3 linked regions of the Oryctolagus cuniculus genome follow. The protein of the gene in region 1 interacts with the protein of each later gene in a biochemical or structural test. Links are inferred from orthologs where the notes say so. Each region holds a gene or a part of one and is shown on either strand. Other genes may lie near its edges. The genes, in order: TBP, GTF2A1 and E2F1.

Region 1 (3,747 bases):
ACCAGTTTATGTGTTATTCATTTCCTAATTTGGAATTTTTAATATTACTCATCTAAATATTTATGTTAGCTGGATTAGAGTATAAAGAACTTAATTTTTTTTTTCTTTTTTCTAGTGAAGAACAGTCTAGACTAGCAGCAAGAAAATATGCCAGAGTTGTGCAGAAGCTGGGTTTTCCAGCTAAGTTCTTGGACTTCAAGATTCAGAACATGGTGGGGAGCTGTGACGTGAAGTTCCCCATACGGCTGGAAGGCCTGGTGCTCACCCACCAGCAGTTCAGCAGGTGAGCGGGGATGTACTCTGCTTGGGCTGGGACACATTTGTAATCTCCTTAGTGTGTTTCAGGATAAAACACAAGCCAGCTATGTAGGGAGTAAGAGCCGGTGAGGCATGCAGAGTTGTGATGCTGTCTCCCTATCAGCCTCCTCCTGCCACATCGGTAGCCATACCCCAAACTCCTCTGCACTGGAATGAACTTGTTTCCACTTCTGGGTTTTACCATTTTATGGCTCAGCAAATGCTTGAGTTGAATCGACAGCTTCTTGCATTAGTTTTTCCCAGTTTGAATCTTTCCTTTTAGTCAACATTATATCAGCTCTGCTGACAAAATGTGAAGTGGGTGATGGGAACATTCTTTCCATTTATTTGGGAGACTCGAGGCAGGTAGTCCTTCCCACCTTGCAGCTTCTTCTCAGCGTCACGTGGTTCTCTGTGTCCCTCGACTCACCATGCTGTGCTGCAGGCTCATTGACCAGCATCAGCGTTCTAGGAGATGTCCACTTGAGTTCAGATACCCACCCTTGCTGCCCTTCCTCAGAGAGGCCACTCACAGACACAGGGACACCTGGTTTTCAGAACCTCTGAACTAGAAAAATGAGATTATGAAGTTAGAATAGGAGGTAGCAACAGTCCATTCGATCAGACCATGTAACTGGAGTATAGTATCTGGTGTGTCACATAAATTACTTGGCCAGAATTGACAGCTAGAGGATATTCCATTTAAGGAAGTGAGATAAGATTGAAAGCAAAACTGTCTATATCAAAACAACTAGGCAAGTGTGTAAAGGTTCCCAACACATAGACATGATAAGTGAGGAGATGGAAATGCTAATTACCCTGTTTGATCATACACCTTGTGCAGCTGTATCAGATTTTCTTACTGTACTCATAAATATGGACAAATATTCAATTAAAAGTAAATTTAGAAGTAGGCAAATTGTCAATGTTGTATTTTAGAAATAAAAGATTTGGGGCTGGTGTTGTGGTGTGTGTAGTGGGTAAAACTGCTCCATATCGGCGCCAGTTTGAGACTCAGGTGCTCCATTTCTGATCCAGCTCCCTGAGAATGCACCTGGGAAAGCAGTGGAAGATGGCCCAAGTGCTTGGACCCCTGACACACCCATGTGGGAGACCAGGATGAAGCTCCTAGCTTTGGCCTGGCCAAAGATCTCTCATTCTGAACTCTGCCTTTCAAATAAATAAATCAATCTTTAAAAAAGAAATAAATGATTTTACGTAGATTTATCTAAACTCAGGCAGAATCACTCTTTGTAAGAACTGCATTCTACAGAACAAATGCACAGCTCCTCTTCTCAGCAAGAGGAGCTGGTGAAGTGACAGGGCAGCCAGCCACTGGCTGGTCCAGGTGTGGATGCAGCTCCGGCTCGCTTGCTGTAAGTGCTCTCTTCCTGGATGTGTTGTGCAGTGAGTGGGCTTGTTGAGGTATTAAACCCTCAAGCATGGGAAACTTCATTTCTAATCTGTTTTTGCCGTTTTCCTTCTAGTTATGAGCCAGAGTTATTTCCTGGTTTAATCTACAGAATGATCAAACCCAGAATCGTTCTCCTTATTTTTGTTTCTGGGAAAGTTGTATTAACAGGTAAGTTCAAATGGGAATTAGCACCTGAAAGTTTGAATGAATTTAAAGGTGGGCATTTTCTCAGAGCTGAAAGGAATTTCACAGCATTGAATAGTTGGCTACCAACCTTTATCTTCTTTCCCCTACTCTTACTCTATGAGAAAAGTACCTACTGCTGGGAAGAAATCAGAGCAGGGGGATGTGACAAAGCCCTGCTGGGCCTTCAGTCAAAGCATGACCTCCATTTATACTGGGGAGGGGAAATGAGCCTGGCATTGGGTAAGAGCAGGTATCTTCCATGGGTTTGTCAGCAGTGTCATGAGAACAAAGGGAGATTCAGAAGCACTGACTTGAAGGCAGTAGTTGGGACGTTAAGATCCAGTCACTCTCGCTGCTGCCCTGCCAGGTTACTCTGATTGTGTAGCAATGAGCTGTAGAGTGGGAGGCTGGAGTCCCCATAAGCATTGCTGTTGTAATGTAGAAAATCATTTTAAGAAAATACTTTAGAGGGGCTGGAATTGGGATGTAGCTGGTAAAGCCGCTGCCTACAGTGCTAGCGTCCCTTTTGGGTGCGGGTTTGAGTCCTAGCTGCTCCACTTCAGATCCAGCTCTCTGCTATGGCCTGGAAAAGCTGTAGAAAATGGCCCAAGGCTGGCGCCGCGGCTCACTAGGCTAATCCTCTGCCTTGCGGCACCGGCACACCGGGTTCTAGTCCCGGTTGGGGCGCCGGATTCTGTCCCGGTTGCCCCTCTTCCAGGCCAGCTCTCTGCTATGGCCCGGGAGTGCAGTGGAGGATGGCCCAAGTGCTTGGGCCGTGCACCCCATGGGAGACCAGGAGAGGTACCTGGCTCCTGTCTTCGGATCAGCATGGTGCGCCAGCCACAGCGTGCCGGCCGTGGCGGCCATTGGAGGGTGAACCAACGGCAAAGGAAGACCTTTCTCTCTCTCTCTCACTGTCCACCCTGCCTGTAAAAAAAAAAGAAAGAAAAAAAACTATGAAAAAAAGAAAATGGCCCACGCCCTTGGGCCCCTGCACCCACATGGGAGACCTGGAAGAAGCTCCTGGCTCCTGGCTTCGGATTGGCCCAGATCCAGCCATTGCAGCCATCTGAGGAGTGATTGGGGTATGATAAGGGATGCCACCATTAAAGTTTCAATGCCTATAATTGTAAAACTGAGTATGGAGAAAATTGTGCTTGCAGTTTTGTTTTAAGATAATAATTTTACCACCTTAAGATGTTGAGAAATGCGTTTTCACACTCTTGCCTTTGTAGGTGCTAAAGTCAGAGCAGAAATCTATGAAGCATTTGAAAACATCTACCCTATTCTAAAGGGATTCCGGAAGACGACGTAATAGCTGTCATGTACTTCTGCCTCCCCTACCCACATGTTTTTTAAAGAAATCAGTTTGGTACCTTTCAATGGTGGTGTTGAGAAGATGGAGGTTCAGTTGCAGGTCACGGCACCAGGCGATGCTCTTTCGAGTGTGTCCCGCCAGGGGCCCTGGGAGGGCATTGTTTCTGCACTGAGAACACCACGCAGCATTACTGTGAGTTGCTCCTACTGTGCTGCTATCCGGGCAGTGCTGCCCGTTTATTTATATTTAGGTTTTAAACACTGCTGTTGACAAGTTGGTTTAAGAGACAAAACTTTTAAGTGTTAAAGCCACCTGTATAATTGATTGGACTTTTTATTTTGTTTAATTTTTCCCCATAAACCAGTTTTTATATTTCTACCAGGAAAGTAAAAATCTTTTTTAAAAGTGTTGTTTTTCTAATTTGTAACTCCTAGGGGTTATTTTTGTGCCAGACACATTCCGCCTTTCCAGTATTGCAGGACAGAATGAATAGATATATTAATGAAAACAAATGGCTGTACATATTGTTCTT
Region 2 (3,647 bases), on another chromosome or scaffold:
AATGCTGGGGGCCTGTATGAGCTCTTGTTCATGTCATGGATGTTCCATCTCAGATCCCGCTTCAAGCTAAAATGCCTGGGAAAGCAGCAGAGAATGGCCCACGTGCTTGGGCCCCTGCCTCCCACATGGGAGACTTGGATGAAGCTCCTGGTTCCTGGCTTCATCCTGCCCTGGCTGTTGCAGTCACTTAGGGAGTGATCCAGTGTATGGAAAATCCTTCTCTCTGTGTCTCCCTCTTTTTCTGTAACTCTGCCTTTCAAATAAATAAATAAATCTTTTTTTTTTTTTTTTTAAAGGGGGCAAACAACAGAGTTTCTGAGTACTGTGAAGGATTGTGGTGCATTGGTTTAAGCCCCTGCCTGCAATACCAGAATCCCAAATCAGAGCGCTGATTGGAATCCCAGCTGCTCTGCCTCCAATCCAGCTCACTGCTAGTGCACGTGGGAAAGCAGTGAAGATGACCCATGCCACCTATGCGGGAGACCTGGATAGAGTTCCAGGATTCTGGCTTAGGCCTGGTCCAGTCCTGGCCATTACTGCCAGTTGGGTAGTGAATCAGTAGATAGAAGATCTCTGTCTCTGTCACTGTGCCTTTCAAATAAATAAAATTCTTGAAGAGAAGAATTCCATAAAGATAGTTTCATAATGGTTCTGATACTACAAAGGATAATCTTTTTCTGAAACTCTGTGCTATATAATAGCTGATGATTAAAGAGTTGCTATGAAAAGATGGTTGAAGATAAAAACAAAAATTTCTTTAGGTTGCTAAAGTGGCAAAGAGGAAGTTTGATACTTTAAAAAATTGTTTTCATTATCCTTTGCACTTAGATGAGATTTGAGGTTATATTTTTGTGCTATGTAAGTTTTTAAATGGAAGAATTCCATAAATAGCTAGTAAAAATATGTTTGACCATGTATTGAGTTATTTTTTCATTTTTAAACTTTTAATGTTGTTTGCATTAGTTGTGGGAGAATAAACTAATGCAGTCTAGAGCAGTAGATGGATTTCATTCAGAAGAGCAACAACTTTTATTGCAAGTTCAACAGCAACATCAACCCCAGCAGCAACAGCATCACCACCACCACCACCATCAGCAAGCTCAGCCTCAGCAGACAGTACCTCAGCAAGCCCAGACCCAGCAGGTCCTTATTCCTGCATCACAGCAAGGTGAGACTAGATCTGTTTTCCTAACTACTTGGAAATTAAGTTGGTCATTTTAAAAGACTAGAAATACTCTAGGTCACTTGGATCTTGTTTTTAAAAGGTATTTCATAAACCTAAAAAAAAAAGTACTGATTTTGTTTTTCCCTTTTCTATGTATGTTTTTATGTATATAAATTTGTATAAAATGTGAGTCCTATTTGTAGAATAGTGATAGACAAATAATTACCTGATTGAAACCCTAAAATAGTATTCAGATACTTGTACTAATGTTTTTTAGGAAGTACATATAGTGGTGGCTTTCCTAAAATTTAAGTCAGATTTATAATTTTTTTTTAACTAAGATTTCATTGTTTTATATAGTAAAGTAGTTATTTCTTCATGAAACATTTTCCTTCAAAGGGATATTGGTGTTGTTTTTATGTCTTAAATCCTGAGTTTTGAACCATATGTTGGCATTCTGAAAATTCAGTACCATGGTAATTTCTGTGTCTAAATTAACAATTAAATTTCTTTTATGTGAATAGTTGATCTATATATCTTGATGTATATTATTACTCTGTTTAAAGGTATGAACAATGCACAATGCAAAACTATTTGTTTTTCATTTATTTTTAACTGAAAGGCTGAGAGAGAGAAAGGGAGAGAGAGATCCTTCTATCTACTGGTTTATTGTCCAAATGCCTGCAACAGTGTGGGCTGGGACAGCCTGAAACCAGGAGCTTGGAACTCAATCCAGTTCTCTCTTATGGGTGGCGGGTGCCTAAGTACTTGAGTCATCACCTGCTATCTCCTAAGAAAGATGAGGCTTCATTTTGACTCCTTTTAGGAACTCTATGAAATAGTTCTTAGCTCCATTGCTTCATAGCTGAGGCAAATCTGGGCCTTAAAAAGGCTGAGAAGCATGATCCATTATATGTAGCAAATATTTTCTGTCATAACAACTATGTTCAATTAAAAACTTACTAAGTATTCTAATTCAGTGAATCTTGATTGTTATTGGAGAAGAAGGTAAATGAAAAGCTTGTTTTAAGGTAACCATTTAGTTAACCTACATATATATGTGTATGACTTGAAATTGATAGTGAAGGGCAAGCATTGTGGAGCAGCCAGGTTAAACTGCTGCTTTTAATGCCTGCATACCACATCAGAGTACTGGTTGAAGTTCTGACTGACTGCTCTGCTTCTGATCCAGCTTCCAGCTAATGCACCTGAAAAGGCAGGAGATAATGGCCCAAGTACTTAAGTCCCCGCCACCCACTTGAGAAATCTGGATGGAGTTTTAGGTTCATGATTTCAGTCTTGTTCAACCCTGGCTATTGTAGGCATTTGAGGAGTGAACAGTGAATTCACAGTCTCTCTCTGTTTTTTTTTCTCTCTCTCTCTTTCAAATATATACATATATACATACATAATTCTTTTAAAAAAAGTGAAAAAAATGATAGTGATACACAGTGGAAAGGTCTTTTTGGGTTGTTTTGCTGTTTATATAAAGTAAGATTTAATATCTGCTTTAAATCTATCCTTTGTTATCAAATATTTTTAACTCTTAATCTTTTCTGATGACTGTTCCTCCTAATGCTTTCAAGCCTGGCATTAGGATTTTAGGTCATCATAAATTAAAATTTGATTTTCTTCACTCAGAGATTATGTGGATAATGGGATTGTCTGTCTGTTCTCTGAAATTTGCGGAATCAAACATTTAATGCCTTTTACACTTAAGTAACATCACCATTATTTTCAATTTCTACTTTTCGAACAATTAGTAACATCCTAGCAACTGTCAAATTGGGAGAAAAGGATTGTAGATTAAAAAAAGTAGTTATAACTGAATTTTGTTCCTAATGAATTAGTAGCTGTTGTGATAAGTATTTCATTTCCTCATCTTACTGAATTCCTTTGCAACCTTCAAATTTATCACTTAAATACTTAAATATTGATGTTTTCTGTTATGATACAGTTATACTAGAGCTTTAAATGCTGTAAAATGTATAACATTTTGAAGTATCAAGGGGTTGAGGGCATTTAAATGCAGAAAAAGTTTTCAGCATTAAATAACATACTTGTGATTATGAAATAGCCTTAGGGTTCCTTGTTTCCATGTGTGTTTATTTGATTTAATTATTTTGTAGCCACGGCACCTCAAGTTATTGTTCCTGATTCTAAGCTGATACAGCACATGAATGCATCAAACATGGTAAGACTCATAGTGTAGCACTTTGATTGGCTTTGCGTCTTCTAACTCAGATAGGGATCTTGCCTGGGTATGTTGTATATTAACAACTTGAAGTTTATTGAAGACTTGAACAAGACAGATATTTTATTTAGTTTCTTATATATTGTATTTAGCAGCAGATCTAAAGTTTAACTTGGTATTTCAGCATTAAGCTTCATAAAATTACGTAATTTTCTGTTTAAAAAGTACCAAAAGGTGTTTTATGGGAGCTCTTTTATCCCTGTTTGTTTAAAACTGGGTAATTCCCAA
Region 3 (3,747 bases), on another chromosome or scaffold:
GGCTCGTGGACCAGTCCGAGCTGGGAGTAGCAATCACTGCAGCTCCCAGGCGGGGAGAGGAGGCAACTGCAGGAACAGAGGCCGCAGCCGGCAGTGGAAGAAGTGAGTAACTGACTCCGGAGGGCTCCCTGGAAGAAGTGGTATTTGACTCTTGTTTGTGTCCTAGCTACTTTTTGCTTGTGGGCCACGCTCACCAGGCAGCAGGCAAACTCGACAGTTAGGACGTCTTTCACATCTCTGTCCCCAGTGCAGACACAAGGCCAAATCGGCCGAGCTGAGCAGTGGGAGGTGCTGATGGAGGTGTCTCAGGGCCTCGGGATTAGATGTTTTCCCACGCCCGGCAGCCTCGCCTCTTCCCTTTGTGAGGTCTCTCATGGCCGAAACCTCCTCATGCTATAAACAGCTGCTACCTCTCTGTCCGCCGCCGCCCCTTACGGCCCCAGCCAGGGCCGCCACTAAGGAGGGGACCACAGAGGCAGCGCAAGCCGCAGCCGCGCGGCAACAGAACTGAGGCCCCCCGCACTTCCTGGTAGCCCCCTCGGCTGGGGCTCGGCGAGGAGTTTGAGGCAATGGCCTAGGTGGGGGCCGCCGAGGACAGGAGATGGGGCTGCATCTCTGGAGGGTGCACAGAGGAGGCGGCGGCGGTGTCTGCAGACCTGGGCTGAGGGTGGAGGGGCCCTAGCTTGAGGGTCTGGGGGCGGGTCACCAGGGCTGTGCTGACCGGAAAACGCGCAGGACCGAGGCCCCGCGGCCTAAGCCTCAGGAAAGAGGAATCAGCAGAACGGGGTGTGTCAGGGCGGGGCGGGGTCCCAGTCCGCACGCCTCCGGCGCGGACGCCCGTGCTGGGGGTGGGGAGTGCGAGCTCGCTGGGCACCGCCCCGACAAAGCCTGCGCGAGCCCCGCCCTGCGATTGGCCGCGCCACTCCGCGCCGCCGCCCCGTCCCGCCCTCCGCCGCCGGCCGTGCTCGATGCAGCCAATGGGCGCCGCCGCCGCCGCTTCCGTCACAGCGCGGACAGCCAATGGTGGCGGCTCTCGGCGGCTCGTGGCTCTTTCGCGGCAAAAAGGATTTGGCGCGTAAAAGTGGCCGGGACTTTGCAGGCAGCGGCGGCCGGGGGCGGAGCGGGATCAAGCCCTCGCCGGGGCCTGTCGCCATGGGCCCGCGCCGCCGCCGCCGCCTGCCACCTGGGCCACGCGGGCCGTGAGCGCCATGGCCGTGGCCCCCGCGGGCGGCCCGTGCGCGCCGGCGCTGGAGGCCCTGCTCGGGGCCGGCGCGCTGCGGCTGCTGGACTCCTCGCAGATCGTCATCATCTCCGCGGCGCAGGACGCCAGCGCCCCGCCGGCCCCCGCCGGCCCCGCCGCGGGCTCTCACGACCCCGACCTGCTGCTCTTCGCCACGCCGCAGGCGCCCCGACCCACACCCAGCGCGCCGCGTCCGGCGCTCGGCCGCCCGCCGGTACGGACTCCGGAGACGCCGGGCCGAAAGCCTGCCTGACGGCCCCGCGCGCACCCGGGCGGGTGCGGTGTTTGGCTCGCAGGCGGCGGGGGCGGGGGAGGGGTGGACTGAGGCGCCCGGGCTGGGCGGTCCAGAGCCTGGGTTGGGCCTCCGGGCCCCGCCCCGGGGTGCGTGGTGACCTCGGGCGGGTCCCTGTTGGCTCCTCAGGGCTGTGGGCCTGAGCGATAATAGCCCACGTGTATTCAGTTGGCGCTTACTGTGTGCCAGCCTGTGGCAGATTTCTCGCCAGCTAAATAAAACTCACAACCCCGCCGTGAGCTCGGAGTTGTCACCATGGCCGTCTGGGGGAGCCCGGAGAGGGAAAGTGACTCGCCCCTGGTCTCAGGGCTGCAGGTGGTCGGGCTGGGGTTTGAGGCCTGCCGGCTTGAGACCAGAATTAGGGGCGGGGCAGTGGGCAAGGCTGCCTAGGGAGGCGAGGCGGGCTGGGGACACTCCTGGGGCTTGACCCTTGGAGGGGGCAGCATGGAGGAGACCCTCCTTCCGGCCCCGTGCTTGACCGCCAGGTGCAGTCTGGCCCTGCAGGCCTCTGGGGACAGGCTCCCGGCTGGGAGGCCTTCTCCGCAGGGGCGGGGTGGCCGGGCCAGCTGCTGATCCCCTCCATCTGCCACCCTCCACCCTCCCAGACCCTGGTTGCCATGGAGCCTCATTAATCAGGCAGGCAGACCCCGAGCCTCTGTGGAAGGGCTGGGTGGGCTGGGCCTCTGGGAGCTGGCTGCCAGGAGAAAGGACGCCAACCAGGGAGGTCCCTTGGAAAGTCCTCCCCGATGAGCGAGCAGCGCGGTGCTCGGGACTGGCTCTTGTAGGGGAGCCCAGAGAGGCTGAGTTCCGGTGGGAGAAGGGAGTGGAGGTCTGGAGCCCGGACCTGTGGGCCGCGGGACAGGGTGTGGGGACCAGTTTGACGGGCACAGGGTGTGGGTGAAGGTGGGGCGGGCGGGCAGGCAGGCAGGGGCTGGCCGGGCTGGATGGGGTCTCAGCAGGGGGCTTGGAGCAGTGGGAGGGGCCAGGACTAGGAGTTCGAAGCTGCTCTACTGCTGATGGAAGTGTGGGTGGCAGCTGGTCCCCGAGGCGTCCTGCGAGGGCCCCTCAACCCCATTGGCACTGTGCCCAGTGCTGCCTTCCTTCCGGAATCACCAAGATGCTAATAATAATAACAATAGTGGCCGCCATTGTTTTGAGGATGTTTTGTATGCCAGGCTCTGTGCCAAGCACTTTACCCAATTAACTCATTTAACCCTGTCAGCAGCCTTCCCTGCACAGGTGGGAGGCTGAGGCCTCGAGGTGTTAGGACCTTCCCCACTCCGCTTGGTGAGTGGCGGGGCAGTGGATCTACCAAGCTGATGGAGGGTGAAGAAAGCCCTGGAAGGTCTTGGGGACCCTCCTCCTGAGAGCGGGGAGGGGGGGGGAAGGGTGTCCCAGGGGTGGGTCACCTGGCCTGTCTCCTGTCCCCCAGGGGCCAGCTTGGAAGCTGGGCAGGTGACAAGTGCTTAGCAGGCCCAGTACTGAAGAGACCTAACAGCCGGTGGGTGCTGAGCTGGGGGAGCGGAGTTCCAGGTGAGGGCTGTGGGCTCAGGGCTCAGAGGGGAGGCGTGGCATAGGGAGAAACGCCCTCCGCTCTGCCCCCAGGGCGTCAGGAGCCCGAGCGTGCTGAGTTAGTAAGTGCCCAGGAGTAAGTGCCCAGGAGGTGCTGGCATGGGCCACTATGGAGTTCTGCCCACCCAGGCCTTAGTGCCAGGAGGTGTTTTTGGGTGTGGGTGTGTGGGGAAGGGGACTGGCTCAGAAAGGCCCAGCATTTGTCCTCCACTTGCTGTACTGATATTTTTTTGGGAATTGTCCTTGAAATAAACTACAGACTTTGCTTCTTTACCAGTGACCATTCACTGAGCACCTGCTGTATACAAGGTTGTATACAGTTCAGCTGTTCCCCTTGACTCTGCCCCTCTAGCCACACCCCATTGTCAATGGCCATTGAAAAGTCCACGTTTTCCACTTTAATACATGTTTATCATAGAAAATGGCCAGCCTGTGAGGAGGTTCAGGGGTTCATTCAGCAGCCACTTGGTGAAGCCCAGTGCCCACCAGAGGTGGAAGCAGCAGGTGTGGGGGCAGGGGCAGCCGGGGCTGTGGCTTGGAGGTACAGACGTGTCACGAGCGAGGCTCCACAGAAGGTCGTGTGGAGAGGATTTGGCAGACGAGCATCAGGAGAGGTTTTTGTTTTAAGATTTATTTTGGGGCC

What was found.
Region 2: the proteins of TBP (region 1) and GTF2A1 form a complex in vitro, tested with the Homo sapiens proteins (7 studies listed by BioGRID and IntAct, with this or other methods). The link is inferred for Oryctolagus cuniculus from reciprocal best matches to the Homo sapiens genes TBP and GTF2A1.
Region 3: the proteins of TBP (region 1) and E2F1 form a complex in vitro, tested with the Homo sapiens proteins (2 studies listed by BioGRID). The link is inferred for Oryctolagus cuniculus from reciprocal best matches to the Homo sapiens genes TBP and E2F1.

Annotation. Positions count from the first base shown.
Region 1 is NC_091436.1:37,158-40,904, reverse strand, and holds part of TBP (TATA-box-binding protein), read left to right. Parts: intron 1-115; coding exon 116-283; intron 284-1,784; coding exon 1,785-1,879; intron 1,880-3,132; coding exon 3,133-3,212; 3' UTR 3,213-3,747. UniProt on the Homo sapiens protein: The TFIID basal transcription factor complex plays a major role in the initiation of RNA polymerase II (Pol II)-dependent transcription.
Region 2 is NC_091451.1:27,041,180-27,044,826, reverse strand, and holds part of GTF2A1 (transcription initiation factor IIA subunit 1), read left to right. Parts: intron 1-963; coding exon 964-1,168; intron 1,169-2,722; exon of another isoform or gene 2,723-2,866; intron 2,867-3,294; coding exon 3,295-3,359; intron 3,360-3,647. UniProt on the Homo sapiens protein: TFIIA is a component of the transcription machinery of RNA polymerase II and plays an important role in transcriptional activation. TFIIA in a complex with TBP mediates transcriptional activity.
Region 3 is NC_091442.1:24,381,384-24,385,130, forward strand, and holds the start of E2F1 (transcription factor E2F1), read left to right. Parts: upstream 1-1,073; 5' UTR 1,074-1,208; coding exon 1,209-1,454; intron 1,455-3,747. UniProt on the Homo sapiens protein: Transcription activator that binds DNA cooperatively with DP proteins through the E2 recognition site, 5'-TTTC[CG]CGC-3' found in the promoter region of a number of genes whose products are involved in cell cycle regulation or in DNA replication.